4 linked regions of the Rhinolophus ferrumequinum genome follow. The protein of the gene in region 4 binds, or shares a complex with, the protein of the main gene of each other region. Links are inferred from orthologs where the notes say so. Each region holds a gene or a part of one and is shown on either strand. Other genes may lie near its edges. The genes, in order: MORF4L2, KAT5, MORF4L1 and MEAF6.

Region 1 (7,744 bases), on a different chromosome or scaffold from region 4:
CACTGCTTTTAGAAGTGTGTATGTATGTAAAACAGGATATACCAGAAGGACTAATAGAGCCATAATTATTATTAAAGCAAACACGTGTCAAACACTGTCCTGATACTTTATATGTAGGAACTATTATTATCTTTATTTTACTTTTGAGGAAATTTAGGGACAAAGTAAGTATCTTGCCTAGGATCATACAGCTAAGTGGCAGAGCCAAGATTTAATTTAAATTCAGTAAGTCAGCATTTGCTCTTAATCACTAAATTATGCTGCATATGGGATGCCACAAAGTAAGAAAAACAATATATGGATGTATGGAACTATCAGGGATCAATTGTAGTATCTTTTATCAAGGAATGTAAAATTACACAGTCCTCTGTTTTTTAGGCACTTTATATACTGGAAGCACCAATGGACTCAGCTCCACCCTACTCAGAATTTAGAGTGATTTCCCAGATAGACGCTTATTAATCTTTAAAATATTCCTGGACAGTTAAGAAGGTTATGTGGAATGATCTTGCTTGAGAACTGAGGCCAGGAGAAGGGAGACACTTACCTAAGATTCTGTAATCAGGATCAGATCTTCTGATCCTTATTATACAGCAAACTTAGCTTTTCTGATAATGGCCTAGAAGGTTAAACAAGGGGACGGGAAAGGGCACAAAATAAAGAGATATGAGATGATGGTTTTCTTCTCTGTCAATCAATGCATTTTATCACACACAAAGGGCACCAAAGCTGATAAATAATGTACAAGTGTTTCTTTTTCAGTTCTTGTGGTTACATTTTCAAATTTATTGTATCTATCCTGATTTTTGATAAAGTAATTTGTTTTCGCTTTTGGTTTTTACTTTTCATTAGGGAAAATGTGAAATGCATAATATCTGAAATTATGTAGAAGGAATATTATAAACCCACAAGAATCTATCATCTAGCTTCAACAATTACCAACTGAAAGCCATCTTGTTTCATCCATAACCCCACCCACTGCTCCCCCCAACTCCGTTTTTAAGCTCACCAAATAACTGAGTTTCTGTATTTTATGGGAAATTTCCAACACATACCAAGGAAGACAGAACAATATAAGGAACTCTATATGCCTATCACCCAGCTTAAACGATTAACTTAAGAGCCAATTTTGTTTCATCTATACCCCCCCAACTTCCCCCTATTGCTGAGATTATTTTGAAGCAAATCCTAGTCATCAACGTATTTTGAAGCAAATCGCAGACATTTTATTATTTAATCCGCATTTTCGTATATATCTCTGTAAGATAGAGACAGTTTGAAAACATAACCACAATACCATTATGACGTCTTAAAAAATCAACACCCATTCCTTAAAAACACATCAAATATCGAATACGTATTCAAATTTTCCCGATGCATCTTAAACATTTTTTTTTTTTTACAGTTGGTGTGTTTGAATCAGGATCCAAACAAGGCCTACTCATCGCATGTGGTTCATCTCCAGCTCGCCCTCGTTCTCCATCTTTCTCCCCCTCCCCCCTTTTTTTAAACTTTTCAATATGGAAAATTCCCATCCCCGCTATTTTGAGGTAATTCCCAAATAGCATATTATTTCACCAATAAAGATAGTTATGTTTCTCTTATATCTCTAGTTTCTTCTAGGGAATAAGTTGATGGGCAGGAAAAGCACTATAATGAGCAAATTTACATAATTTGTTTTTTTCTCATTCTGTTACGCAGGTTTTTCTGTCCACAATAACAGTTAACATCTTTCGGAGCCAGGCTTCCCATTAAGTGCTTTATACGCACTAATATACATAGTACACGCCTCTGAGGTACACGTCTCTGAGGTAGATACTATTATTATCACCATTTTACAAACATGGAAACCGAGACACAGAAAGGAGCCAGCCCGAGCTGGGCGTTGGCGAGTAGGAATCTGAATCCAGCTCTGCCCGATCGTGAAGCCATGAGTTAATCTTGCCTAGATACTCGACGAGAAGAGGAAATCGTCAACCCTTTCTCCCCACCCCCACCCCGAAACCTGAAACGAGAATCCAGCTCTTTCCAGCAGCCGACGTGTGCTCACTGCCGTCCCTCGAACCGCCATAGTAAAGCCAGGTTTCTCTGGCAACTGATATCCATAGGCAGACACGTCACCCTGGAGGCGGGCTCATGACCTTCAGCCAATCACAGTCGTCTTGTCTAAGTTTTAGAATGTTCCATGACCAAATGATTGGACGAGGCCAATCACGTCACAATGACACTTCGCCGCAGTATAAGGGGGTGCTAGCAACCTGCTTCTTCATGGTTAAGACTTGACGCAAACCAATCATCTTCTCCCTGTAGTGCGGCTCTGGCCAATAACGTTCACCCTCTTAGGTTCTGAGCCCACCCTCCAAAATCGCAACTGTAGTTGGGTCATAAGTCTATAGGGCAGGGTGTTCACGTGGCCTATTTTCACGACCCAGAGTTCCCCTGACCAGAGGTTCTTTTTTTCTTTTTTTTTTTTTTTTTTTGCAGGGAGGCATTATGGGTTTTCATTCCCCCCACTGGGAAAGGAAGTGTCTACGTGGCCTGCGGAAACAGGATGGGCGGAAATGAGCTAAGGTTCCCGCGAGTGGGGAAGCGCGAGGTCAAATCTGGGGCCACGCCCCTGAACCACTTGCGCAACTCTTGGAGAAAAAGAGGCACAACGGGGGTGGTGGGCGTGCGGGCGCGTGGTGGTGGGGCTAGTGTGGATGTGCGCGGACGAGCTCGCGTGGTCTTGGGATTGGGGTGCGTGCGCTCCAGCCCTCGTGGCGCTGGACGCGGTGGGTATGCGCAAGCGTGCGCGCCTAGAGTCGGGGCCGGTGTGTCCCAGAGCGAGGATGTGCCTGCGTGCGTGTGCGTGCGCGGCGCGTGTGCGTGCTCTATACTGAACATTTTCTTATGTTTGAAAATTGTTCTAATGAAAAGGAAAACAAGCCACGGCGCCCATCATAAATAACGGGCCTTTGTTAGAAATATTTCGGTCTCCCCTATCGATTCAATTTTAGACCCTAAAAAATGTACTTCTCACTTTTTCCGGCCACAATCCTTTTCTAAACCGTAGCCCTCCGATGGTTAAGAGCCAAACAAACCCACGCATTCCCATATTAGCAATTCCAAGGAGCAGCTTTTCCTGTTTGCTAGTATCGTTCTTCCACTTCTTCCCCGAACCCCCCCCCCCCAATTCCGTGTAATTTTTCTGGCACAAACAAAATTTTCTGCTGAAAATATCTATACGATAGGCTTCCCCTCCACTACGAGCTCCGAATTTCTGTGGCGGCGGAAGCTCTCACCTTTTTGTCCTGATCTCCAAGCACAGTGCCCTTTAAGCAAGTACGCACTCAGTTAATTTTCCAGAAAGTTCTCTGGGTGAGGGTTATACCTCTTGAGTCTGCCACGAGGTGCCGCCAAATCCCAGCAAAGAATTGCCTATTTGGTCCCTGGAATGATGGGATTTTTATTCTCCCCCTTTCTGATTTCTGAACTCTTCAATCTATAGGGATCATGTATATCTTTCATTGCTAGGGAAAATCAAATTAGCTTTTATAAATAGCTCTAGACAGGGGACTATGGCCCTAGATCTAAAGGTTTTTTCATTTCTTTCCTCCTTAAAAAAAGCCCCCCTTCCATCCCTCTCTTCTTCCTTCTTTGCCTTTTCTTTTGGGGGAGGGGGGACGGTAAGAATTGATGAATGTCACCAGACACTAACGCTGATGAAGATCCTAACCTTTCTGTGCACTTTTTCAAATGCTCAATATCCCGTCCCCCCCCCCCAAAAAAAAAAAGAAACCCCAGAAAATAACAGGTGGCTGGTTAGTCAGTAAAGACAGATAAGAGCTTGGACCCTGGCATTGAAAACTGACCTTCTCTTCCTCTTGAAATTTTTATTAGATATGTGTGTTTGCGCCCTATTTTCTGTAGTGGTACTGCTAAACTTTATTACGTCTTTGGAGTCAGAGACCTAATTTTAAACCCCATTGCACCACTTACTAGCTCTGAGAAGCCCGGGCAAACGATTTATGTTCTGTGTTCCTTAGGTTTTTGCATGCTTTCCATATTTTAGATGCTGTGTCATATCCTTTACATATATGTTATTTTATTCTTCACAAAATCCTTATTAGATGGGTAATAAATCAAAATCGAACAACAAAAGTTATACCTCTTTCAGTTATCAATCATGCGCGCGCGCGCGCTCGCACACGCGCACACACACTGGGAGGGAGGCGGGATTTAGAGCAGTGGTTCTCAGTGTGTTTCCCAAACACGTCAGTACCATCATTATCACTTTTCGAGAAGTTGTCAGATTCAGATTCTCGGGCCCCATCTCAAACCTAGTGGATTAGAAATTCTAGGGGTAGGGTTTGGCTGTCGCTGTTATAACAATCTGTTTGGGTGATTGCAATGCACACTGAATTTAGAACCACCGCTTTGGAGGGCAGAGATGCAGTGCTTATTTTTCTTTGCTCCACTAGAGGGTGCTACAGAATTTAAAGCAAAATAATAAATGATATATGTTTTATTGAGATACCCTGCATATTATCAGTCCCGTTATACAGATTAAAAACTAATGTGTAGAGGTGTCAAATTATTTTCTCAGTGCATACAACTATGGGAACCAGGATAAGAATTTCACCTGTTTCTCGAGCCCAAGCCCTTGACAGTACTCTTTTGTTCAGCCATCATAGCTTATCTTTCTGGGCCTTAAAATACATTACAGATACCTTGTTCTCTGCTTTAGCTATGTTGACTGGAGCATCAAGAAGGGGGCAGGAAAGCAAACTAAATAAATGGAAATATTTTAATGATTTCATACTTTCCCTCATCTCCATTCTATACTATCACATTAAAGCTCATGTGTTTCCCTTCTTGCTTTTATATTTCCCAAATGCTCTCTACCCTGCAGTTATCTTTTTTAGTTTATTTCTGAACCTCTCCTATGTGTGTGTGGGGAATCAGGGTGGTGAGGAAACACAGTTGTTGCAAGCCTATTATGGGCCACACTATATGGCTCTGTGCCCATTAATCCCAACAATAGGCCTGTAAATTAGGTAAGGATTTTCATCATTTTATAGATCATGAAGGTGAGCCCCAGAGCCTATAATTATTTTTCTTTGGTCATATAACTTGTAAGAAATAGAGCCCGGGTAATTCCTGGTATATCTGACAGTACTACCCTGCTAAACTTTCTACTGCTTGGTTTTCAATGTGATTTAGTGTCGTGCGCAGAGTCCAGCGGGGTCTCTGGTCCCGCTCCCCACACAAGAACGCAGGATATGGCTAGGCCAAAAAGGAACACCCACGGAGCCATAGGTAGGGGAGTCACACCACTATACTCTCACTGGCGGCTGGGTTGGAGACACAGGAACCAGGAGCAACACAATTCTCAACCCTCACTGTGCCGCTTGCAGGCTCAGCCACCATCTTCTTGCTAGCCCCCATTTTCTCTTTTTGCTACTAGCCTAGCCACGGCAGTTATATTCATGGCTAATGGCTCACTGGTTACAGCTGATGGCCAACTAGCCACAGCTGCTGGCCATTTGATCACAGTCAATGGCCATTTACTACCTGAGCCAGCACCTTTCTATGTGAGGCCGAGAGCCTGGAAACTGCTTTTTGGGGCTCTGTCCCCACATTTAGTTACTTAATATTTATGTGACTTCCAACAAGTTCTTTAACTTTCCTGAGCCTTAGTTTCACTGTATATTAAGTGGGAATAATTATTCCTCATAATCTTAGAGCTGCAGTATCCAACATGGTAGCCACTAGACATATGGGTACTTAAATTTGAATTAAAATTAAAAATTCAGTTCCTCAGTTGCACTAACTACATTTCAAGGGCTCAGTAGCTACTTATGGCTAGTGTTAGTACTGGCGGGTCCCTGGGCAGGCCTCCCCAAGATAGCTCACAATGGCATATTGATTATTTCAAATTGAAATCACTTGAGAAGCAGCAGGAGCAGGAGGAGCTCTCTGACTCTCCAAAAGCAGGAAATAAATCTCCATGTAATAGGTGCTCTCCCTTCTCCTGAGGGCTAACAGACAACCTTATCACAAGAGTTATAAAATCCAGAATCAAAAAAGCCTATATAAACAAACTTTGTGAATCCTTTACTAATTTACTACTTAAGCCCAAACTGCTTAGATTCCTTTCTAATGAGCACTAACTTTCTTTGTCTTGTTCATTGCTCACAGAATTATTGTTTCTTTGTCTAAAAAAATAAAAAGGTGCCTAGTTTGATAATTTTTTAATTAAACTTATTGGGGTGACATTGGTTAATAAAATTATATAGGTTTCAAGTGTACAATGCTATAATACATTATCTATATATTGCATTGTGTGTTCACCATTCAAAGTCAGGTCTCCTTCTGTCACCATATATTTGACTTCCTTTTGAGCCTTGTTTTGTGACCTGAGCATCATATTGTGATTCTCTCGTGTGCACGTATTAAATTGTTTTTTTTCCCTGTAAATCTAGTCTTGTGTCAATTTTATTATTTTACTGTTGGTCCAGCTGTAAGAACTAAAGAAGGGTAAAAGTGGGGGATTCTCCTCCTCCCCAATGGTACCATATTAGATACCAAGAGATAAAGAACATTCCCACCATGACAGAAAGTTCTATGGAACAGTGCTGATTTAGACTATATAAGGTATGTAAAAGGGCCTAGCATAGTGCATATTCATGGCATGTGCCCAAGAAAAGTGATTCCCTGATCTTTCCTTTCAGCATCAGAGCTAGGCAGGTTCTCCGGTTTTATTGATAGGGTCAGGAGAGGGGAGTAACTTACCCAAGGTACTATAACGGGGATGCGTCTGCCATTAGGACCCAAATCTCCTGACTCTCGCTTCCATATTCTGTCTAGTAGACTCATCCTTGTGCTCTACTGACTGAGGTCTCAAGGCCAAGGGTGTGAATAATGTGAATTAACTTCCGAGTCAGGGTAGTAGCAGGAAAAGACACAGCTGAATGTCTTCTAGGTATGTGCCAGGCAGCACTGCTCAGCTCTTTACATCGATTGTCTTAGTGAATCCTCACTGAAGCCCAGAGAAGTTAAATGCTCACTCCAAGTTGCCAGCTAATAAATGTCAGAACAAAGATTCTGACTTCTCTCTGACTCCCAAGCCCATGTTTTTGTCCCATTGTGCCATGTTACCGTCTCAAATGTGAATACTCTCCTGTCCCTTCCACTTACTAGTGGGATGAAGCTTCAGCAGATTCCTGACTCTTAGTGGGTCCTCAAAATGGGAGTTAACTCTTCTTTGGAATTTACAGCTGAACCACTGTCTTCACAATCTGCTTCAACTGGAAGGGAAAGATAGCGTAAGTCAATGTTTGTTTGGCTTCAAGGCCTGAACAAGACTATTTACAGCCCCAGCCTTTACAGAACATTCAGTGGCTCCAAGATCTCTATGTCACTTTTCGAGGCCACATTTGCTCATTCAATCCCTTTGTGCTGATCAGAAGCATGTGACACCTGGGGGGCAGATATTGTGCAAACAAATGATCAGTGGAACAATGAGAAAAATACTTTTCCTTCTCAGGGATGTTGGAGCTTCACCAGGGCAGCTGAAGAATGAATTTCAACCTCCACTTGTTCCATTTCAGTTGGGTAATCTTGTGCAGGGTGCAACCTTCCCTGGCCATCAGTATCTGCTGGCTTTGCGTATCTTACCTCGCGGCTAAGAGAGCCTTCCTAGGTCTGGAAAGTAGTGCTCAGTCTGTTCTGGAGGGTGGTCAGGGACATCAGTGTCCTC
Region 2 (8,240 bases), on a different chromosome or scaffold from region 4:
CCCTCCGGCCCCAGTGCGGCCATCCCCCGGGAACAGAGGACGCCCTCACCCTCCATGGCCGGGGTCCCGGGGGCGGGGCCGGGGTCGCAGCTGGGCCCGGGGCGCGCGTTACAGCAAAGCCATTCGCCAGAGGCGGAAATGCGACGCGCGCGCCCGCCGCCGCGTCACTGCCGGGAAGCAGCCGCGCCTGCGCGCCTCGCCGTCGCCGCCGCCGCCGCCGCCGCTGCCGCTGCCGCCGCCGCCCCCTGTGGGGCCGGGAACCACTGGGCGCTGCGCCAAGGACGGAGAGGCAGCGTGCACGCTGCTGCCGGAGACCGGCAGCAAGTGCGCCTTTCCAGAGACCGAGTCGGTCCGGAGGCCGCTGGCCGGGAGGCTCGGCTTGCTTCTGGGTCTGGGCCCCGCCTGGAGGGCGGACCCGGCGATTACTCACAATGTTTTTAGGGGATTTCGGGGCCCCCTCCCGCCAATCAGAGGAGTTTGGTGATGTCACCCGGGCCGGGTCTGGAGCAAACCTACGACTGCTGGGCTCCTGCCGCCAGCCCTGCTCAGGGAAAGGCCCGTGCCTACTCCGTCTTTGGCCGAGTGACTGAATTTCACAGTTTCCTAATCGCTAAAAGGTGTCTTTTGGTGATTGTCGCCGCAGAAGTACTTTTTAAATTTCCCATCCACACTAATTTAGATGCAGCGGAGGGAAAAGGGAAGGGCCCGGACCTCTTCACATGGCGGTGCTTTGGTCACTGGGCTAAGCGTGTCCTGCTGCACGCAAGGGGCGACAGAAGCTCCGTACTGCGTCCGCTATCGCGGGCGGACCGGGCCGAGAGCTTCTCGCTTCCAACTCAAACACCAGTTTAAGGTGCATCACACTGCCGGCCCTCGGTGGCAATGGGTTAAGCATAAGGCGCCCAGGGGTATATCAACTGGAGCCTCGTCTCTGCCACCTGACGCCTGTTATCTGAGAAGGTCCGGAACCCCCAGGGGCCGCTTAGAACTCGCCGTGTCTCGCCGCCGCACCCCACGCCGCCCGTCGTCTCCCTAGGACCTCCTGCAAGGGACCAGCCGTCGGCTAAACCATTTCCACTGATTAACTGTCATGTGATTCCTCAGGGGGATATTGTCCCCAAGTTCAAGCCCTAGGCGGCGTTCGTGCGGGATGAGGGTGGAGGCTGGGGCTGGAGCACCCTCCACCCCCGACCGGTTCCTCATCCCAGAATGAGGATGCTCCATCGCAGGCGGTGGAGCCTTCTCCAGATGGAAAAAGACTTTATTTTCTCTGAATTCGTTCTAAATTAAGGAATCTTATGGGAATTGGAAAAGATTGGAAATTCTGACTTGCTTTACCAGGCTCTGAAAAAACAGGAAAAGAAAAGTGAAAATAGTTACCACCCCTCCCACTCATTTCAGTTTCTCCTGTGGCTGGCCAGGATTAGGAAAGTCAGTTTACTTTTTTGAGGAGGCTGACTTTTCAAGTCCACAGAATGGGTTACTTATAATCTTTGGTTAATGACACACAATCATCATTGATCCTTGCATGATCCTCTTTTAAAAAATTCATATATATTTGTAACAAATCAATAAATTGAATTGTTGTGCTGACTGTAAAACTCAAGGGGCTGAATAGGACACCACCAGAACTTACATCTATCTCGGTGCTCCACATCTGTCCATCCCCTCATCCCGGTGTCCAGGGCACCACCATCTAGAATTCTCTGTTTGTTATTCCCTTGACGTTTTTTTTTAAAGAAAAAAAATTTACTCATATACATGGCTACACAAATATGTTGCTTGGTTTCGCTTACTTTTGAACTTCTATGAAGAGAGTATCTTGTTTTTTGTTACTTGCTTTTCTCACTCAACATATTACTAAGGTTTATGTTTCATAGTTCATTCACTTTTTACTGCTACATACTATTCTGTTGTGTAAATACACCGCAGGTTATTTATTTATTCATCCTGCGGATGGCCATTTGGACTTCCAGTTTTCACTATTACAAGCAGTGTGGTTAAGAACATTCCTGTGACTGTCTCCTGTTGTACATGTATCCAGGAGTTTTCTTCAGTATATACCTAAAAGTGATTTATTAGGGTATAGAATTTCCCATTATCAATTTTCAAAATAATGCCTTGGTTCTCTAGCATCCTCCAAAATTTAATGCATGCATTTTAAAAAAGTCTTAATGCATGGATTTAAACACTTGATATGCTTTAATCTGTTTTAATTATTCTTATTGAAGTTCAAATTGTTCCATCTTTGGCCACTGGGAACCTTCTGAAGTTGGTTCTTCGGTCCTTTTGACACAATTCCAATAGTGTCCAAGATCTGGAATCAGACAGCTTTCTGAGGAATTCTGATTCCTTTTACTGGGAAATGGTATTTAGAGACCACAGTCTGAGTTCTAGGGATACTTATTGCTAGTGGGTCAATCATTATGGACCTTTTCAGTGAACAGTTAGGCAATATATATGAGTATGTATATTTTTATATGAAATGCACCAGGAATTCATACTCATATCTCCTTTTCAAGTTTAGGACTACAGGGTTTTAACTTAACCTCAATCATCTTACATATTCTCTCATGTCAAAAAAATCTCAATTCTCTTTTTACAGAAATAGAAAAATCCATCCTTAAGTACATATGGAACCTTGAGGGACCCTGAATAACCAAAACAATCTTGAAAAAGAAGAACAAAGTTGGAGGAGTCACACTTCCTGATTTCAAAACTTACTACAAAGCTACAGTAATCAAAACAATGTGGTACTGGCATAAAGATAGACATATAGACCAATGAAACAGAATAGAGAGCCCAAAAATAAACCCTCACATACATGGTTGAATGATTTTTGGCAAGAGTGCCAAGACTGTTCAATGAAGACAGTCTTTTCAACAAATGGTGCTAGGAAACCTGGCTAGCCACAAGCAAAGGAATGAAGTTGGACCCTTACCTAACACCATATACAAAAACTAACTCAAAATGGATTGAAGAGGGGCAGCCAGTTGGCTGAGTTGGTTAGAGCACAGTGCTCATAACACCAACATCGCCGGTTCAATTCCCACATGGACCAGTGAGCTGTGCCCTCCACAACTGGATTGAAAACGACTTAACTTGAAGCTGATGGGTTCTGGAAAAACACAGTGTTCCCCAACATTCCTCTTAAAACATACATACATACGTACATACATACATATATAGATGTAGCCGGCCCGGTGGCTCAGGTGGTTGGAGCTCTGTGCTCCTAACACCGAAGGCTGCCGGTTTGATTCCCACATGGGCCAGTGGGCTCTCAACCATAAGGTTGCTGGTTCGACTCCCGCAAGGGATGGTGGGCTGCGCCCCCTGCAACTAACAACGGCAACTGGACGTGGAGCTGAACTGTGCCCTCCACAACTAAGATTGAAAGGACAACAACTTGACTTGGAAAAAGCCCTGGAAGTACACGCTGTTCCCCAATAAAGTCCTGTTCCCCTTCCCCAATAAAATCTTAAAGAAAAACAAAACAAACAAACAAAGAAAAAAACAATAGCTAACAGGCAACTAGTTATGGCAGCTAAGGTGCATCTAAATAACGAAACACTATGTAGCCATTAAAACTGTGCTGTAGAATATTTAATGACTAGTGTTCAATTTATGTTGCTAAGTGAAAAAGCTGGTCACAAAACAGTATATACAGGAAGAACCTATTTTTGTATTCAAAAGATAGCACAATAGTTTATAGAGCAGGGGGTGGCCAACATTCTCTGTAAAGGGCCAGATAGTATTTTAGGCTTTGTATTTCAGACACAATTATTCAATTTTAGTGTGAAAGCAGTCATAGACAAAAAGTAAATGAATCAAAAGTATGGCTATGCTCCAATACAACTATATGTGGACACTGAACTTTGAATTTCGTAATTTTTATTTGTTGTGAAATATTCTTTTGTTTTCTTAACCATTAAAAAATACAAAACCATTCTTAGCTCACTGGCTGTAGGAAAACTAGCAAAGGATTGGATTTGGCCTGCAGGCCTTAGTTTGCCCACCCCTAGTTTACAGGACATTCTACCAAAATGTTCATGGTGGAAATGTCCCCCATGATGATCTGAGGTTATTTTCTCCCCCTACTGTGGTCTAGTTTTCTGAAACAGTACTCCGCCCCACGTCCCCTGCACCCCCAACTATTTGCAAGGCTCTTCCGTTGTTCCCTCTCTAAATCTTTCCTTAAGTATATACACTTCCATCAGTCCTGCCCTCAGCACCCTATTTAAAATTGCAACCAACCTGCCCATCTCCTTTACCTTGTTCATTCTTTTTGGTTTCTCCAATCACTTTTGAATAAACTAAGTAATTTACTTTTTAATATATTTACTTTTGTTATATAAACCCAACCCCCAACAATGTAAGCTCTATGAGAGCAGGGTTCTATTTTATTCACTGATGTATTCCAAGATCCTAGAACAGTGCCTGGCACACGTTACATTATTAAACATTTGTTCAATGTATGAATGAATAATGTTGTATTACTTTTATAGTGAGAAACCTAATACAGAAAACAATCTAGAAACCTTCCGTGAGTCCCCATCCTTAACGAATGAAATCCACAAACTTGGCCAGGCATTGAACTCCCTTCATAGTCCCGCCCACTTCTCCAGACCCGCCCCCCCCCGCCCCCGCGAGCACTCGCAGTTCACAGCGAGTGACCTCTCCCACCGCCACTTAGAGACGCTGGAATCCCGCCACCCCCAAAGCACAAACACTACGCCCACGTGACCCGCGCTGCGTCCACGTGACCGGCGTCGCACCCGGTGGGCGTCACGTGACAGACTCAGCTTTCCTCCAATCGTTGTGCCCGTTATGGAGATTCCTCCCAGGACCCAACCCGAGACTTAAAACACCCTATTTTCCCGTCCCCCAAACAGGTCGGTTCCCCGCTTCCAGCTGGGCGGCGGTGTATTTCAAGGGTCTCTTCTAAGGCGGTGTCCGGTGGTCCGGGCCTACTGCACACTCAGTCCCGGAAGTGACGTCTCCCAGAGGGGCCGGAAGTGTCAGTGGAGGGAGGGAAGATGGCGGAGGTGGTGAGTCCGGTGCCCGGGGCGGGGCGGAGGGAGCCAGGGGAGGTGGGTAGAGCCCGAGGCCCCCCAGTAGCCGACCCTGGCGCCGCGCTGTCTCCCCAGGGGGAGATAATCGAAGGTTGCCGCCTGCCGGTGCTGCGGCGGAACCAGGACAACGAAGATGAGTGGCGTGAGTGACGTCGGGGGGCGGGGCTAAGAACCTGAGGGCGAGGGGCGGGAGTCAACCGAACCCTTGGGAGGGGGAGGGGCTTCGAGAATTCTGGGGCAGGCGGGGCGCAGATACTCAGGAGGGGCGTGGCTTTTAGCCACTCCGAGATGGACAGGGCGGAGCGTGGAGAGGGGTTGGCACTGGGTGACTAAAGGGGGCTTGGGTGATAGCTTCCAAGTGCTGGGGCTTAGAGATCAGGCCTGGGGGTGGAGTTCAGGTCTTAGGAAGGTGGAGCCTCATGGCCTGGCGGGTCTAACGCCCCTGCCTATGCTGTTCCCACAGCCCTGGCCGAGATCCTGAGCGTGAAGGACATTAGTGGCCGGAAGCTTTTCTACGTACATTACATTGACTGTGAGTGCTGGGCCAGGGTGAGGAGGGGCTGCAGGGTAGGGTTGGGAGGCAGTCTCTGGCATTGCTTCCTGAGACATCCCCACTGCTGCAGTCAACAAACGCCTGGATGAATGGGTGACCCACGAAAGGCTGGACCTGAAGAAGATCCAATTCCCCAAGAAAGAGGCCAAGACCCCCACCAAGAACGGACTTCCTGGGTCCCGCCCCGGCTCTCCAGAGAGAGAGGTGGTGAGTAGGTCCCCTACTTCACCTCTTCTCTTCTGCCTCCTACTTCTCTCATCTTTTGGCCTCAGTGGCTCCTGGATGGGCTGGAGCAGGCCACACCCTCCCACCCTGGCTTCAGCTTGTAAAGAATGGGGGCCAAGTTGCAGATGTAGCTTCTAGAGTCCAGCGGCTATTCCTGTGTCCTTGAGAGGGCAGCGGGTGGGGTTTGATCACTCCATGCTGAGGAGCCCCTATTCCCCTTCCCCATCCTACCACCATCCCCACCCCAGAGGAAGACCCTGGACCTATCTCTACAGCCGGCCTCCACCCAGGCCAGCGGGAAGACCTTGCCAATCCCGGTCCAGATCACACTCCGCTTCAACCTGCCCAAGGAGCGGGAGGCCATTCCCGGTGGCGAGCCCGACCAGCCGCTCTCCTCCAGCTCCTGCCTGCAGCCCAACCACCGCTCAACGGTACCCTCAGCAATTCCAGGGACCTTGCTTTCCTCTCAGGTCCCACCTTCTCTACCTTCTGACCCACCTTTCTTGGTTTCTCTCTGCAGAAACGGAAGGTGGAGGTGGTTTCACCAGCAACTCCAGTGCCCAGCGAGACAGCCCCAGCCTCAGTTTTTCCCCAGGTGAGTCCTCCAAACCATCTCTTTCTTCTACCTCCCGGTAGCCCCTTTCAGACTCACCTCACAGCCACCCTTTCTGTTCCTACCATCTCACCTACAGAATGGATCAGCCCGTAGGGCAGTTGCAGCGCAGCCAGGACGGAAGCGAAAATCAAATTGCTTGGGCACTGATGAGGTAGGTCTGGGGAAGAGGGAAGCTGGATGAAAAGGAGGAGAGGTGGGCGGGGTGGCAAGTTTAGTGGCTAGTTTAAAAATAAGGAGTGTTGGGCAGCCATGGTGTTGCTGGGATTGGGAGCCAGGCAGAGCTGGTTCAGATCGGTCATTGGGTGATCTTTCCCAAGTTTTGAATGAAAACTTTCCATGTCTTGCATTCTTTATCTGGAAAGTGGGAACTATAGTACTTCCCTCGAAGGTTAGGCTTGAACAAGGAAACGTGTGGGGGAGCTGTAGTGTTTCCCGTAACACGGTGTCTTCCACTGGCCCTGAGCAGGACTCCCAGGACAGCTCAGATGGAATTCCATCAGCCCCGCGCATGACTGGGAGCCTGGTGTCCGACCGGAGCCACGACGACATCGTCACCCGGATGAAGAACATTGAGTGCATCGAGCTGGGCCGGCACCGCCTCAAGCCGTGGTACTTCTCCCCGTACCCACAGGAGCTCACCACGTTGCCCGTCCTCTATCTCTGCGAGTTCTGTCTCAAGTATGGCCGTAGCCTCAAGTGTCTGCAGCGCCACTTGGTATGAGGGGTCCCAGGAGGCCACCCTCCTAGCACCCCCACCCTGCCCCACCCCTGACCTTTCTCTCTTCCTCAGACCAAGTGTGACCTGCGACATCCTCCAGGCAATGAGATTTACCGCAAGGGCACCATCTCCTTCTTTGAGATCGATGGACGCAAGAACAAGGTCAGTGGCTGAAGGACAATAGGGAAATCTTGGAGCTGGGGTTCGGGGAAAGTCAAATGAGCACCTTGTTCCTATTCAGGAAAACACTGAACAGTCTGGCCAGCAGATCAGTTCACCCATTTTTATTGAGTTCTTGCTGTAGGGCAGGTGCTGGGAGGTATAGACAACCAGGAATTGGATAAAATCTCTGCTGAGAGCTCACAGTCCATAGGGAAAATAGACGTGCCAACAGTGTGATAAATGTCATGAAACAAAGGGTGGCTTGTTAGGACCCAGAGGAGCTAGTCATCAAAGCTTCACAGAGAAGGTGACTTATGAGCCTTGACATAAAGAATAAGGTGGGCAAGGGAGTCCCAAGCAGTGGGGTCCTGAAGGGCAGGCGTGGATGTACAGGTGGTGTGACAGGCAAAGACCCTTCTGGCTGAAGGGCAGAGAGAAAGAGGCAAGGCTGTTAGAAGGGACAGAGCTCAAGTGGTGGGTGGGAATGGCAGTTGGAGAGGAGCTGGGAACACCATAGGCTTGGCGCTTCAAACCTGCCTTAGTCTATGGCTGTGGAGAGGAAGGAGTAATCTGGAGGGACCCTTAAGAGAGACTTTCCTCATTCCTGGGGTCCAGAGGGTGCTGGGGGAGAGGCAGGCATCTTGACTGGCGGGGGAGAGCTCTGGCTTGGGTGCTGGGGGAGCTTGAGAGGAAGTTGCTGCTTTAACTGCTGGTTCTATATTATAAGTGGGGACTTGGGCGTCCAAGTGACAGTGCCCAGCAGGTGGTTAAGGAGCCATGTCTGGTGCAGGAACAATTGTGTTTAGAGGTAAAGGAGCAAAAAGAATTCTCCTGGGGGAACTCCTAAGGCTGATATTTTGTTAAATTCCAGAATTTTTCACCTCAGTTGTAGAC
Region 3 (8,305 bases), on a different chromosome or scaffold from region 4:
TCAGTGGCTACAGTATATCCAAAGTGGAGCCATCTAGTAAGCACTTGCGTACGCATCTGGGGCTCAGGAGAGAGCTGGGCTAGAGCCACCGTTGAATATTGTGAGCAAGGAGACCATGGGGATGTAAATAAGCTAATAAACAGCAGCACCAAAGCTCAGATCTGTGGCTCATAGCTCCTCTCCAGGTACACTTTAAAAGCACCCTGAAAATGGCCTTCCTCCTCACCATCCTTTTGGCTGCCGCCACCAAATGCACTGGGCTTAAGCCCTTTGGCCTCCATTCTAGCTACATGGCCCTAAATCTTCTGTTGAAAAATATAGGCTGGCTGAAGAGTTATGATCCAGGACAACATATGCCTGATTTTCATGAAGTAGTAAAAAGAAAGACTGGTAATTGCGGGAGAAAGAGGAAAACCACGTATTAGATGTTGTTTTTTTTTTAAAAAAAACCTTTCTCCACTCTTAATCCTTTTTAGTATCAAACTACAAAGGTAATTCTGCCCAATGCTCTCAAATTCAAGGTTAATTAAGATTCCAAACCCCCTTTCGCCCACTGGTTTGTGCTTACTAGGAACTCAAAGGCCAGCATTAGCCAGTCTCTTAATTCCTGACACAAGGCAAAGGGCCTTCCCTTTGACAATGGGCCAGGTGCTCGAGTTTCTTTACCATATGCTTTAACAGAATTTCAAGTGGAAGACCAAGTGCAAAAAAAATGTGCTTTTAAAAATTGCTTATATAACGTAAGTTGCACCATTGTTTAAATGAGAAAAAAATGAGTTTTTAAAGGAATCATGGAAAAAAAAAAAGAAAGGAATCATGAAAAACATACTTCTAATAAAAAAAAATAAAGGAATCATGAAAAACATACTTCTAATAATTCATATTTCCGCCATTACATAATCTCAATTCTTCTGCAGTGTTCTATTACAATTGTCAGCACTAACATAACATTCCTTTTTCCTTACGACATATCCTCTGAACATGTCATATAAATAATGATAATTTCTTAACGATGGTTATTATACAACTCAGCTTTGACAGGAGAAGAAAACACATCTGTAAAGTGATAGTAAAGGCAGACTCTCTTAGGTAGCTTTCAAAAACCTAAGGGAACCCTGGTTTCCACTCTTCTCTAATTCACCACTATTGCAGCACACGGACTCATTTGCTGTTATTCCCCTCACGCTGCCATCCCCCTACTTCAGAACTAAAGCACTTCCTCCTCAGAAAGTTACCCGACAATTCCAATCCTCAGTGATTTTCCTCCTTTGATGTCCTAAACTAGGGATTAACTTTTTGTATCATCGACCCTTGACGATCTGGTGAAGCATATGGGCCTTTTTTCCAGAATGTTATTATAAATACATAAACACAGAGTATGACAGGAAACCAACTATATTGAAATAGTTAGCAAAACATTTTAAATATCATTTTCTGTATTACGTGAGCTCAACTGATATAGTAAACATTTAGCTACTGATCCAGTAACTAGCATAATTTTGAAGTAATGAGGAACATAAATGACACTGAATGTACCTTCTGCAACGGTAACGTTGCGATATGAAAACATATTGCTAATACTGAGGCAGACGGCTAGAGGCAGGAATTGTAACAATCCCACCGCACGGGTTTTTTTTGGTGTGTGTGTGGGGGGGCTATATTCCTAATTGAAATAATTTTCAGTTAGACAATAAAAAAATGTTCCCGTCCAAGTTCACGAATCTTCTGAATTACATCCACTAGAATAAGAATCCTGCTCTAAAATAACAAGTAAAAAAATATATATATATATATACCCATAGGAGGTAGTCCCAGCTTCTCAAGGTAGGAGAAAGCGGCTATTAGGAGCCCATCGTTATCAAAAATACCCTTAAAAACCTCTTAAATATTCCATAAAGTTACAAAATACTTGGGCTTTGGACATAGGACTCTAAAAGTAATTCTAAAACACACGCAAGTTTGAAAACCCCTACAACAAAAGACATTGTTTTGCGGCCGTCTCGACATCTGTGCTCAAGCAGCTCGCACATCCACAGCAACGAGGTACGTTTCAGAGCGTCCCTGCTTGTTTACAGGTCTCTGCTTCCATTTTCCTTTCCTATGACGTCTCCACTTGAACACACGGTAACGGACGCGTTAATCGTGAACTCAAAGGGCTGTCTTCCGCTGCAGGGCAGGTTCTGCCGTCAGCCCAAAACCTCGTCGATCAAAAGCCAATTAATCCAAACTCACTCAGCTTCCTAACCAGTTAGTCAAACGCCACCGCCGTGAGTCCACTGCGGACTGGAAGGATGACGCGAGGGCACCAGGGTTCGTGAACAGACGCCTCGTAACACACCATCCGAGCGGCTTTCTCTTCACGAGCAGCCGCCCGGCGAGAGCGCACTCGACCGCCGGGCCGCCAAGCGCTGCCTGCAGGCAGCACAAAGCCGCCGCCGCCGCCGCCGCCCCGCGGAGGCGGGCGCAGGGCGACGCCGGCGGCCATCTTGCGGCGGCCATTTCACGGCGCGGCTCTCCCCAGCCCGGGCGCCCCGCCCGCCCCGCCGCGGCTCGGCGCCTCCAGCCAACGCCGCCGCCCCGGGCCCGAGGCGACCCCGAGCGCCAGCCGTTGTCCGCCCCGCGGGGGCCCGCGCCCCTCCCGCCACATCGCCGCCTCCGCGCCGCCATGGCGCCCGTCCCTCCCGCCGCCGCCCCCACACAACACACGCTGAGGGAGGCTCCGCCGCGCCCGCCGAGCGCCTTCGCCTCACAAAGCGCTGCGCCCGGGCCGCGCCCAAAGCCGCGCCGCAATGCGCTTCTGCACGAAGCCCCGCTCGGCCCCTCCGCGCCACCGCCCCGCCGCGCCCGCCCGCCCCGCCGCCGTTAGATGCCTCTCCCAAGGCCCAGACTCACCCTCCTGGAATTTAGGCTTCGGGTCCTGCTTCGGCGCCATTTATAGGGATTCGCCGCCGCCTCCTCCTTCTCCCACCACTCGCACTACCGCCCCCCACTCTCCAGCCCACCCAGCTCCGCGTCAGACGCCGTGGGCAGCGCCAGCTCTAGATCCCGGGCGCGATTTGCCGGCGCCTGCACACCTCACACAGCCGCGACTGCGCAGCCGCGCCTGCCAACCACCGCCCACCGCGCACGCGCCCTGCGCCGCGCCGCCCGGGGCATGCTGGAAGTGGTAGTTCCAGCCGTTGAGCGGGCGGGGAGGGGCTCCTCCCATCCCCCATCCCTCATCCCCCAGCCCCGCAACCCGGGTGGGTGAAACCCGGACTGATTCGGGGCAGTGTTGGGGCGCGGTGCTGGAGGCGGTCCCTCGCCAGCGAAAACGAGCTGGAAAGACCCAGTGTGCAACCCCACGGGCGACACGGGCCAGCAGGATGTGGCATGAAAGGCCTACGAGGAAAGATGCGTCTAAACACTTTCAGTACTTCCGACGGCATCTCTAGGGGTATCCGCGTGCGTGTGGCAGCGTTGGGGACCCGCGGTCCGGCCACAATCTGCGAGCTCGCTGCCAGCCCGCGCGTGGCTTGAAGAGCCCACCCGGCGGGAGGCAGGAGACGATGGCGCGCTACCTGCCTTCCCAGTAGGCCGAGGTGAATAACGACCTGTAACACCCTCCTCCGAGTCGGGTGCCCACCGCCCCACGTGCGCAGCCTTTTGTCAAGTTTCTGTGAGCTATTACTGAATGTACACACACATCGTGAACGGCTGACCACACATTCAAAAGGCCTTAGGTTGCTCAGCTGCCGAATCGACTTATTGTGAGAATTGCACAAAAAGGCTGAGTGCCTAACAGTGAATTCCTCGCTCGACAAACGTGAAGGAGGACAAGCCTCAAAGGCATTCCACCAAAGGCCCTCGACATCCCCCCAGGCCTTCAGCTTATCTCCATGGCTTCCCTCAACTCCCCGAACGGCTGAGCACCCCACTACTTGCAGACCTCTCTCCATTTCTCTGACTCCTATTTCTCCTTCAGTCTTCCTCCTAACACAAGCCCTTCTTTGAACACCCACAAAGAACCCTCATTCCAGTTGTCTACACACCATCTTGTCTGTCCTAGTCCGCAGAGTATCAACGGAAGAGGCAAGGGCCTCTTTGTGACCCCACCCACCGCACCAAAACTGCCCCGTACACCTCTTCTTTTGAACACAAAATACTTCAAAATAATTCAAATTCAATAATCCATAATTTTAAAAATATAAAAATGAAGACAATGAAAAGTTTCTTTCCCACCTCAGTCCTTTACCCACCCATTCCCCCAACATCGAAACAAAACCAGTGCTTTTCCCAAGGCTTTTGAAATTAAATGAAATGGAGATAACAATTACTTAATAAGGAAAAAAACATTACAATCAAAATTGCCACCCACTAGAACACTGATTATATTGTAGTTGGTGATCACGTAGGGTGGTCACGTGGCCGAGCCTACACCTGAAGAGAAAATCCTTGAGCCACAGGGACGGCCAACAAGAAACAAGGAGATAACAAAACCAAAATCGCAGGAGAGATGAGCGGCCCAGGGAAAGTTTCTAAAGTAGCACATGCACACTAAAGAGCTGTCGGTATAGTTAACTTTTCCTCATTATCACATTAAAAAAAAACCTTAAGGCGGAGATTTAAGATGAAACTTGCAATGAAGTAGCGCTTGTAGGTATACTGCACAGGCGCAGGAAAGGACCCACCTCAACAAACTTTGGCGGGGAGGGAGAGAGAGGAAGGGGTGACTCCCAACCCCAAGAGCCTAGAAACCTGCTGTATCTGTAAACCTCAGGGAGCCACATCCATTCTCTCTTGGAGTCTGCTCCCTTTGTACATCAAGCTTTCGCTTTAATAAACCTTTCTCTCTGCAAAACTATTTCATCCACTCTCTTGATTTCTACCCTGAGAGGGGCAAGGAACCTAGCACCAGTAACAAGATCTGTTTTCTGGGGCTATCATAACAGAGTTCCACAAACTGAGTGACTTACACAACAAATGTATTGCCTCACAATTCTGGAGACTACAAGTCCAAAGTCAAGGTGTTGGCAGGGTTGGTTCCATCTGACCACTGTGAGGCTGACGCTGTTCCGTGCCTCTCCCCACTTCCATGGTTGCTGGCCATCTCTGGTTTCCTTGGCTTGTAGAAGCATCACCCCAATCTCTGCCTTCATCCTCACATGGCGTTCTCCTGTGTGTCTGTCTCCAAATTTCCCCTTTATATAAAGACAACAGTCAAACTGGATTAAGAGCCCATTCTACTCCACTATGACCACATCTAACTAATTACATCTACAACAAACTTATTTCCAAATAAGGTCACATTCTGAAGCCCTAGAGGTTAGGAATCCTACATACGAATTTTAAGAGGACACGATTCAACCCATAATGCTGGTCTTCAACGTGAAATGGATATGTGACATCTTCCCTGACCTCTCACCAGCTGGCGTCTCTCTGCCATGGGTTGCCTTCAGAAAGTTTCTACTTCACCTCCCATCACCTAGCGATGAAGGACTACTCTGTAATAGGGGTACTTAGGGATCTTCATTTTTGATGCTGAAAATTTCCATGTCTTTCTTCCAAAGTCTAAAATTGTGTTTGAATTGATGATAATAACATATGGTAATTGTGGAGAATGCTTGACAATTACTGAGAATGATGGAAAATAAGACAAGGAAAGAATTTGCAGGTGTTAACCTAAAAGCAAAGTTTTGCCACAAGAAATTGAGTTCTTTTAGGAAAACATGTAGGAAAATATAATTACTTGTTTTGAGATATGTTTTAAGACAAAAATGGCCAAGGGAAAATTCTTCAGTTTGAATTACTAACTTAGGGAAAACAAAGGATAAAAAAGTCCTAAGGTTCTGTTCACAAGAGCCACCTGACTAGCTAACTAACACAATATTACAGTGGTTTAAACAGCCCATAATAATCACTAGTCCTTACTTAAAGGAATTTACAAATGTGAAATTAATATGCACAGTGAATCCTGTGAAGTAGAGCTGATCTCCAAATTAACCTTCAATATCTCACAGTATTAAGTTAAAAACACATTTCAAACGTTTTGACAGAGATCACTTCCGCAATATTTAGGAACGCCACGGTTTCACTATTTTTCCTGTCTTCTTATTCCCTGACCTTTGGCACTCCACTGTCCTTCAATAGACCACCCGGTGACAAATATTTCTCTACACCAGATAGCCTTTAACTGTGTATTTATAAGATGAAATCGCCTTATAGTTGCACGGTTCCCTCTTTTAATCTGTTCAATCTTAGTAGTTTTTTGTCCTGTGTTGTTTGAAAATAGACTCCAGATTGAAGTCCGTTATTACCATTGACGAGAACTGAAGCTGGTAAAAAATGATTACCGCTGACGAGACCTAAAATGCAGCTGGAAAACAAAACTGAACGAACCGCCGCCCAACGTGGGGCTCGAACCCACGACCCTGGGATTAAGAGTCCCATGCTCTACCGACTGAGCTAGCCGGGCAGTCAGGAAATGTGCCATTCCTAGCTCACTTCAAAGGAATAAGATTATTTTAACTTGCTCTGAAACTGACTTTTTGCATCTTTTTTTTTTTTTTTTTTAATAATTGTTTTCAGTAAAGTTTTTCACTACTTCCAAATGTGCGTTCCATGCCTGGTTCTGCGCGCACAAACTTACTGTTCAGAAAAGGCACAAACGGCCCTCTAGCGGTCGCGGCGCAGCGGCGGGTGCAGGTGGTCCCAGACCCCCGCCAAGACCAGACGCCAGCGGGAACAGCCAGTTCACCCCGAGATCCCGGGGCGAAGTACACGCCTGTGGCGCGGACCTAGGGTGCCCGACACCCGTGTGCCCGATGCACAAGCAGGAATGCCTGCGCCATCAGCAGAGAAGACTGGAGACCAGAACACGGCTGAAAAGGGGCCTTCTCGGCCCGTGTGGCTTTGAGGTTCCTGGGGTTTTTCTAGGGCCCGACGGTGTTCTACTCGGCCGTGCCCTGTTGTTCACACAATAGACGATGATTCAAAAGCTAAAGCAGGCTCTGAAATCAATTGAAAATACCATGTAGCAAAGAAATGCAAAGACGTTCCGTGCTCATGGATTGGAAGAACCAACATAGTTAAATTGGCCATATTACCCAAAGCAATATACAGATTTAATGCAATCCCATCAAAATTCCAATGGAATTTTTAAAAGAAATAGAACAAAAAAATCATCAGATTTTATGGAACCACAAAAGACCCTGAATAGCCAAAGCAAGCCTAACAAAAAAAGAACAATGCTGGAGGTATCACACTCCCTGACTTCAGCTTGTACTACAGGGCAACAATAATCAAAACAGTATGGTGTTGGCAGAAAAACAGACACACAAGCCAATGGAATAGAATTGAGAACCCAGAAAATAAAACCACATAAATATGGACAATTTTTGACAAAGAAGCAAAAAACTTATAATGGAGAAAAGAAAGCTCTTCCATAAATGGTTCTGGGAGAACTGGAAACCCACGTGCAAAAGAATGAAACTGGACTGCTATCTGTCACCATGTACCAAAATTAATTCAAAATGGATCAAAGACCTAAGCATAAGACCTGACACCAAAAAACCTGCATAGAAGAAAACATAGGTACTAAACTTATGGACCTTGGGTTCAAAGAGCATTTTATGAATTTGACTCCAAAGGCAAGGGAAGTAAAAGCTAAAATAAATGAATGCACTATATCAAACTTAAAAGCTCTGCACAGCAAAAGAAACCATGGACAAAATAAAGAGGCAACCAATGAATGGGAGAAGGTTTTGCAAACAATGCCTCCGATAGGTGCTAATATCCAAAAATCTACAAGGAACTCATACAACTCAATAACAAAAAAACAAACAACCCAACTGAAAAATGGGCAGAGGACCTGAAGAGACATTTCTCCAAAGAGGACATACAAATGGCAAATAGAGATATGAAAAAATGCTCAATATCACTAATCATCAGAGAAATGCAAATAAAAACCCAACGAGATATCACCTCACCCCAGTCAGAATGGCTATCATAACAAGACAAATAGTAACAAGTGTTGGAGAGGCTGTGGAGGAGAAAAAGGAACCTCTATACACTGTTGGTGGGAATGCAGACTGGTGCAGCCGCTATAGAAGGCAGTGTGGAGGTTCCTCAAAAAGTAAAAATGAAATTACCATATGACCCAGCAATCCTCTCCTGGGTATCTACCCAAAAAATCTGAAAACATTTATCCATAAAGGACATATGTGCTCCAGTGTTCATTGCAGCTTTATTTACGGTGGCCAAGACATGGAAACAATCAAAATGTCCTTCGATAGATGAATGGTAAAGAAGTTGTGGTATATATACA
Region 4 (7,767 bases):
GGTTTTAAAAGGCTTAGAACTTAACATTTTCAGATTGATTATTGATATTGTACTCAAATGGTGATATTTTTTAACATCCTTCCCTTTGTGGAAATCTGTGGATGTGAGGAATGAAATTATATTAATCAAAGCCTAAGTGTGACACACCACACACCAGCAATGACTGCTTGTGAGATGACGTTCTCAGACCACGATGGTCCTGGGTATGTGAATTTACATCAACTGAAAAGGCTACTTGATTGAAATGAAAGCTTTGGAATTGGAAGCTTCATTTGGTCTCCTAGGTGAAGTTTCCAGTATATTTATCAAATGGGAAACAATTTTAAGACAGTTAATTTGTTCACATGTACTCTAAAGTTTTACAGTGAATTAATTCACTAAATCAATAGTTGCATAAGCTTACCATGCTCGCATTTGATTTACAGCTGTGAGTTAGAAGCAGGGAGCAATAATTTAGAGGTGGGCTGCACCATGTGCAAGAGATGGCATTTAAGGTATGCCTTAGAAATGAAGTGGATTTTGCATCAGTAGAGGAGGGCATTGTTTCAGACTGAGCAGTCCAGGGGACAGCAGAGCTGGAGTGGAGGATGTGGAAAGGATCCTGTAACATTAAGTTGTTTACCTGAAGACCCACAGCAAATTAGTGGTAGAGCTAGGATGAGAACCCACCTCAGTCCTGGTTCAGTGGTCTTTCCTCTGGACTGTGGCTTCCCATCTCCCTAGCAGAGCTTAGTGAAGAGATCTGAGGAGGGAAAAGACAGCTGGTGCATTAGGCTGTCCATTCATAGGGGGTTCAAGGAAATCACAATGGCTGGGATTTCCAGGGATAATGAGGGGCTCAGGCAAATCCTCACCTCACCAAGTCATAGCCAGAGCTGCTTGGAAATCATTATGTTGATTCATAAAAGTAAACAAATGTTCAATAATCAGGTAGCTGAGAATTGCCATGAACTGAGACCTCAATGATAAAACTGGCTAAAACTTAGGCGTACTTTCTATGTATAAGGCATAGTTTTAAGCATTTTACATGTACATTGATGCATACCTTGATACCTTCACACTTCTTCCTCATAATCCTACGAGGCAGGCTTCTTTTATCATTTCATTTTGCCGATGCAAAAACTGAGGCACAGAGTTGTTCAAGTCACACAGTGGTAGGTAGGACCGGGATTCAAACCCAGTCACCCTGGTTCCAGATGCCACATGCTTAACCACTGTGATATACTGCTTCTTAGAGCCATGAGAGTTAACAAGATCTGGCCGTCAAAGAGCGATATAACCAGTGCTAGAGCTACAAACAGTGCTAGCGAGGAGAAGCAGTGGGGATTATGGAAGAGAATAAGTATAAGCACAGAGAATAAGCACAGAGAAATAGTATTCAACCAAGCCTTAGTCAGTTACTCAGAAGAGGCCAGTGGGGATGAGGAAAGAAAGGAATATGAATTTCTAGGCAGAGAGACTAGCACTCAGAAAGATCTGAAGTAACAAACTAATGAAACTTTGGAAGCACTTGAAGTTCAACAGGGAAAAAAGGGTGAGTGAGACTTCTTTCTGGTTTCTGAACCCTCCTGCTTGAAAGTAGCTAAAATTTCTGGATAAAATATAAGCAAAACAATTTCTTAAAGCATTCAAGAACCTACAAATTAATAAAACAGTTGTTAGGCAAAAAGTGAAGATAAATAAGAATCCAGAGAGAAATGGACTGTAGATGTCTGGAAGCCACATTTGGTCTAAAGGCAAACCACATTTGATTCTAGGAAATCAGATCTTACCCTAGCTTGAATGGGACAGAAATCAAAACCCAAAGCCCACAGGCAATAGTCTAATAGAACATGATTCCCACAAAAAGCTGGTCTATCAGAGGTCTATAACTTTTAGAATAAAAGAGTGGATCAGAAATTGAATCTTCCCAGGTATTTATAGCCTGGAAGCTCAGGAAACCTCGGGCCTTGAACTTGGTTTAGGATGACCCGGTGCCTCCAGGTGTCTGAAACAAATGAAATTCATCTTTGGAGGAAGGGACTTTTTTATCTCCCCTCTAGTTATTTCCACATTTCCCCCCAAAGATACAATTATTTTTATTAATGAACAAGAAAAGGCACTATAGGTGAGAAACAACAGAAATAACGGGTTGGCCCGGTGGCTCATGCTTCTAACTCCGAGGTCGCCGGTTCGATTCCCACATGGGCCAGTGAGCTGCGCCCTCTACAGCTAAGATTGTGAACAACGGCTCTCCCTGGAGCTGGGCTGCCATGAGTGGCCAGCAGCCAGCGTGAGCCGCTAGATGAAATGGACCAATTCTTCAAAAACCATAAACTACCAACATTTACCTGATAGGAAATAGATTATCTGAATAGTCGTACAGATATTAAAGAAATTGAACTTGTAATTAAAAAGCTTCTGAAAAGAAATATCCACACCCAAATGGTGGAAGAATTCTACCAAACATTACAAGAAGAATTAGCACCATAGTGTACCTTCTTTTCTAGAAATTAGAAAAACAGAAAATACCTCCCAACTTATTTTATAAGGCCGTTATTATTTTGATACCAAAGTCAGACAGGAAAGTACAGACCCTACACACCAATACCCCATGAACTTAGCCACAAAAATCCTCAGTAGAATATTAGCAAATTGAATCTAGCAATATATAAAAAGAATTACACAACATGGTCAAGTGGGGTTTATTCCAAATATGCAAGGCTGGTTCAACACTTGGAAACGAATCTGTGTAATCCACTACACCAAGAGGATAGAGAAGAAAAATCACAATCTGACAAAATTCAGATTCAGGAAAAGAATCTGACAAAATTCAATACCATTCATAATTAAAAACTGTCAGTAAACCAGGAATAGAGGCGAACTTCTCAACTCGATAAAGAGCATCTACAAAAACCTTACAGCTAACATCACACTTAATGGTGAAAGACACTACTTTCCTAAGACAGAGAAAAGGTTAAGGATGTCCACTCTGACCACTCTTATTCAACAGAGAACTGGAAGTCCCAGCCAGCACAGTAAGGAAAGGAAAGGAAATAAAAAGCACACGGGGTGGAAAAGAAAAAATACAACTGCCAATTTGAAGAGGAAATGATTATCTGTGTAAAACATCCCAAGGAATCTACAAAAACACCTCCTGAAACTAATAAGGGAGTTCAGCAAGATCCCAGGTTACAAGATCAACACACAAAAGAAATCCAGACTGTAGCAGAGAGAGACAAAAAAGATAGTGGGTAAACAAAATGAAGGATTATTATGTTTAATCTAGAAGGAGACAGAAAATGAGGCAGAGGCATTATCTGAAGGAAAAAAGCTGAGAATTTCCCAGAACTGGTGAAAGATACCAAACTATAGATTGTAGAAACCCAAAGACTTCCAAGTAAGGGGAAAAGGAAGAAACGAGGAAGGAAGGAAGGAAAAAGAAAGGAAGGAAGGAAAGAAGGAAGGAAGGAGAAAGGAAAAAAAGAGAAAAAAGAAGAAAAAAAATCCTATCGAGATTAACGATAGTGAAATTTACATAACTGAAAATTGGAGAGCGCTGAGGCTGGAGAAGCAGGGCCCAGGTGAAAACAGTGAAGGAGACTGCACTTAATGAATAAAGCTAACACTCACATAGTCCTTATTACTTGCTAAGCCCCTTTACAGACATAAAGTGATTTACTCCTCACAGCAATTGTATTAAGTAGGTACTATTATTACCTCCATTTTAGAGATAAGGAAGTTGAGACAGTGAAATTTGGTTACTTGCCCAAGGTGGCTCAGTTTATCAGTGGCAGCTAAGGTCGGATTTTGAACAAGGTAGTTCTGGCTTCGGTTTTCGTTCTTAACCACCACACATACAGTACTTGTCTCTCTAAAGGGCAATGAGAAGCCATTGAAATGTTGAAACCAGGGGAGCGACACATTCGTTTTCCAAAAACAAGTTATCCTGGCACCACTGTGGATGAGAGATTAAATGCAGTTTAAGTGTGGAAACAGGAATCTGTTGGAATAATGTAGCCAAAAATAGGGAAGGCCGGGATGCCCGAGGGAGATGGCAAACACAAGTAAATAGATTTGCGGGCTCTTCCAGGGTCCAGGGAACTTCGTTTTGTATGGGATGAAGGGGGTGAAGGAATGAGGCTGATGCCCAGGTTTTTGACTTGGGCAACTCGGCGGGCCGTTTAAGTCATTCGCTGATGTGACTTAGGAGGAGTCTGGTTTTGGCACGGTGAATTTGCAGCGCCTGGAAAAGTCAGCCGTCCCTGAGGGGCAGAAATGCCTGTAGTGCCAAGACTAGCAGATTGCCCCACCACCGCGGGCCTCCAGGTGAGCGCGCGCGGGACCGAGGCCCAGAGCGCCGCCAGGCCGCGTCTCCGGAAGCCGCGAGCGCAGGCGCAGTGCGGCGCGGGCGCCCCCTGGCGGGCGGCGGCGGGCAGGGACCGCCCCCACCACCCGGCGCCGCCGCTGCCGCCTCAGCCCAACATGGCGATGCACAACAAGGCGGCACCGCCGCAGATCCCGGACACCCGGCGGGAGCTGGCGGAGCTCGTGAAGAGGAAGCAGGAGCTGGCGGTGAGGGGCTAGCACCGGGGACGCACGGCGGAGGATCCGCGCCTGCCCCCACCTCCAGGCCCCAGCCCCGGCGCGCCAGGCCGTTAGGGCGCTGCGCGGCGGCCGACAGTCCGGCGGCCCGAGGCTGGGCTGCGCATTCCGCGGCTCGCCGGCGCCTCGGCTTCCTGGCTATGCGGGAGCCCGGGCCCCGAGGGCGGGGCGAGAAGCCAGGAAGAGGAAGGAAGACGGGGAAGGGGGACTAGGCGGGCGGGGGGCGTGGAGGAAGGATGGCGCGTGGGGCTGGGGTGCTTAGGTGTGGGAGCCGCAGAAAGGCAGTGTCCGTGAGCTTTGGGGGTGGGTGAGGGCGGGCGGGTTCGCAATCTTTGAGTGGGGGGGGCGGGCGTGTCGGTGGGCTGTAGGGGATTGGTTCGGGCTTGCCTGTGGGCTTTGGCGGGGTGGGGTAGGAGGCGTCTGTGGAAGGGGGACCCAGTCATCCAGTCTGGTCTTTGGAGGATGGAGGGGCGCATGTCCTTTTGGGAACTAGGAGTAGATCCATTGGATGGAATTTTTGATGGGCAGGGATGTGATGTGTTTGGGAATATCTAGAAGGTGACAGCCGAGGGGAGCGGATTCAATCTAGGGAATAGGAATGTGACCCAAGGTCTCATGCACCCTGGTGGCTAAGCCCTCCCTACCCCCCTGAGTCTTGGCTTGGGCACCTGGGAGGCTCATCTCACCTGAAGCTGCCCTTCCAAGTTTCCATAGCAACTGGCTGACCATTGCAGGCAGCCTTTTTGAGCCTGCGGGGAGGGGAGCGACTTGGCGCTGGAAGGCTACTCGCCCTTCCCTCCCCACTGGCATTACCTTTTATGAGTGGAGCCTGCCTGAGCTGGGGTTTTTGACAGCTGTGTTTCCATGAACCCTCTGAAGTATACACAAAATTTTGCATGTATGTACATTTTTCAGGGGACAGGCTCTCTATATTTCATTCTATTCTCAAAAGGATCCAACAAGACAGGTCTAGACTGTCTTAGTCTGAAACAGCTTGTCCCTTCACATACCATCTGTCTCTCCACAAGGGTAGTTGAGTGTAGTTGTGCTTGAGTTTCTAAGTCTAATATTAAGGTTTCAGTTTGGTCAGACTTAATGTTTGCATTTAAAAGGCATTATCCGTTTCCCTGTTTTTCATCTCTCAGGAAACACTGGCAAACTTGGAGAGACAAATCTATGCTTTTGAAGGAAGCTACCTGGAAGACACTCAGATGTATGGCAATATTATTCGTGGCTGGGATAGGTATCTGACCAATCAAAAGTGAGTGTCAGAAAGAGTACAGTGTTTGTACTGTGACCTACTAATACTTGTTTTTAATGCTGTATATATTGGTGGCAACTTTGCAGGGAGGCAGAACTAAGTAGCAGTGTGGAAAGAGGTTTGCGCTTGAACTTTGCACTCTGGCTCAGCCTCGCTGAGTCATCCTAGACAAAGCCTACATCCATAGACTGGTCGATAGTACAGGGGTGTGAGAAGCTGAAATGAAATACAGCCTATCCTACCTTACACAACAGCATTCTCTTAGTGTCTTCCACATTTTAAGCAGTCATGAGTTCCACCGTCACAATATTTGCCAGACCTGTGTGCCAACCCTACCACTATTTATTTAGTGCTATTAGTCTTGAAAACTTTCTAAACTTTTTGAAATTTTTAAAATCTATAGAAAAATGGAAAGAATAGTACATGAACACTTGAAACCCTTCGCCGACATTCACCGATTAACTTGCTGCATTTACTTTCTTGCTCTTTTCTCTTTTTCCTCACTATTATATAAACACACATACCTGTATTTACATTTTAAAAACATTTTGTTTAAATTTTGAAATCATTATAGATACGTAGGAAATTACAAAAATACTACAGAGAGGTCCCATGAACCCTTCACCCAGTTTTCCCCAGTGGTTTTTGTGTAACTATAGTACAATATCAAAACCAGGAAATGAACGAGTACAATGTGTGTGTGTAGTTCTGTCATTTTATCATTGTGTATAGATTCCTATAACCACCACTGCAATCAAGATGCAAAACTGTTCCATCACCACAAAGATCTGTTATGCTACCCTACCCCTGTGTGATTGTATCTCCCTTTTGCCCTATACTTTGGGTTTTTTTTTTCCCTAAACCATTTAAAAGTTAGAAACAGATATCATGACACATTGTCCCTAATTATGTCAGCAATTATCTCCTAAGAATAAGAACATTTTTCTTAGTTAACCACAGTTATCATGTCTAGAAAATTAGCACTACATTAAAAGTATCTTCTAACACACAGTGTTTATTCACATTTCCCTAATTGTCCCCAACATGCTTTGCTACCTTGTTTTGATCCAGTCAAAGTTTTTCATTGCATTGATGTTTCTTTGGTTTCTTAATAAGAGCGTCTTCCACCCTTTTTGTTGGTGAAGTTGTGGTTTACAACATTGTCTTGTAGATTGTCCCAATTCTAGATTTTTCTTACTGTGACCTCATGAGCGATCCTTTAAACATTTTTGGCAGAAATGTTGCATTAGTGATTTGTGTACCTCTTGTTTACCTTTATTTTATTAGGCAGCACATAATGTCAGATTGCCCCATTATTGGTGCTGCTAAGTTTGATGATATGATTTCTCCATTATGAAAGCTTATTTTTTCTCTTTGTAATTGACAAGTAATTTTGGAGCTTATACTTTTAGACAGTGGGAATATATTGCTCCCCACAAATTTTATTCACTGGTTTTATTATACATTGTTGATTCCTACCTGAATCAGTTATTATACTGGAGGTTGCAAAATGGTGGTTCTAATTTTACTGTTCCTTTTACATTTATTACTGGTATTCTGAAAGAAGAGCCTTCCCCTTTTATCTTCTCTCCCTTTCATTCTATCTCTGTCTCTCTTTAGTATCACTATAGACTCGTGGATTTATTTTTAAATCGGTGTTGGGATCTAGTGCTGTCACTTTTTTATTGTTGAGGTTTTATTTTTTAGTATAAATTAATTTATTGAAATTGATAGAGAAGTGCACAAATCATAAATATACAGCTCAGTGACTTCACAAAGCCAACACACCCATCGTTAATCCTTTTTGATGCTAGTTTGTCCCGAATGTGGCCAGAGGGAGCCTCCTCAACCTGATACCTTTGTCCTTTTGATATGATCCTATTAGTGTCAGCGCTTTGTTTCTGTCATGTCCTTTTCTTGTC

What was found.
Region 1: MEAF6 (region 4) and MORF4L2 share a complex: the UniProt entries of both Homo sapiens proteins name them as parts of the nuA4 histone acetyltransferase complex. The link is inferred for Rhinolophus ferrumequinum from reciprocal best matches to the Homo sapiens genes MEAF6 and MORF4L2.
Region 2: MEAF6 (region 4) and KAT5 share a complex: the UniProt entries of both Homo sapiens proteins name them as parts of the nuA4 histone acetyltransferase complex. The link is inferred for Rhinolophus ferrumequinum from reciprocal best matches to the Homo sapiens genes MEAF6 and KAT5.
Region 3: MEAF6 (region 4) and MORF4L1 share a complex: the UniProt entries of both Homo sapiens proteins name them as parts of the nuA4 histone acetyltransferase complex. The link is inferred for Rhinolophus ferrumequinum from reciprocal best matches to the Homo sapiens genes MEAF6 and MORF4L1.

The regions. Positions count from the first base shown.
Region 1 is NC_046284.1:51,249,463-51,257,206, reverse strand, and holds the start of MORF4L2 (mortality factor 4-like protein 2), read right to left. Parts: upstream 3,304-7,744; 5' UTR 3,285-3,303; intron 2,189-3,284; exon of another isoform or gene 2,006-2,188; intron 620-2,005; 5' UTR 548-619; intron 1-547. UniProt on the Homo sapiens protein: Component of the NuA4 histone acetyltransferase complex which is involved in transcriptional activation of select genes principally by acetylation of nucleosomal histone H4 and H2A.
Region 2 is NC_046294.1:6,048,471-6,056,710, reverse strand, and holds the start of KAT5 (histone acetyltransferase KAT5), read left to right. Parts: upstream 1-5,021; 5' UTR 5,022-5,036; coding exon 5,037-5,214; intron 5,215-5,535; coding exon 5,536-5,604; intron 5,605-5,695; coding exon 5,696-5,832; intron 5,833-6,098; coding exon of another isoform or gene 6,099-6,125; coding exon 6,126-6,281; intron 6,282-6,370; coding exon 6,371-6,445; intron 6,446-6,542; coding exon 6,543-6,617; intron 6,618-6,932; coding exon 6,933-7,181; intron 7,182-7,256; coding exon 7,257-7,346; intron 7,347-8,240. Other genes in the region: RELA (transcription factor p65), read right to left, coding at 50-56. UniProt on the Homo sapiens protein: Catalytic subunit of the NuA4 histone acetyltransferase complex, a multiprotein complex involved in transcriptional activation of select genes principally by acetylation of nucleosomal histones H2A and H4.
Region 3 is NC_046311.1:884,909-893,213, reverse strand, and holds the start of MORF4L1 (mortality factor 4-like protein 1), read right to left. Parts: upstream 3,081-8,305; 5' UTR 2,933-3,080; coding exon 2,893-2,932; intron 1-2,892. UniProt on the Homo sapiens protein: Component of the NuA4 histone acetyltransferase (HAT) complex which is involved in transcriptional activation of select genes principally by acetylation of nucleosomal histones H4 and H2A.
Region 4 is NC_046292.1:26,210,781-26,218,547, reverse strand, and holds the start of MEAF6 (chromatin modification-related protein MEAF6), read left to right. Parts: upstream 1-4,401; 5' UTR 4,402-4,464; coding exon 4,465-4,554; intron 4,555-5,729; coding exon 5,730-5,845; intron 5,846-7,767.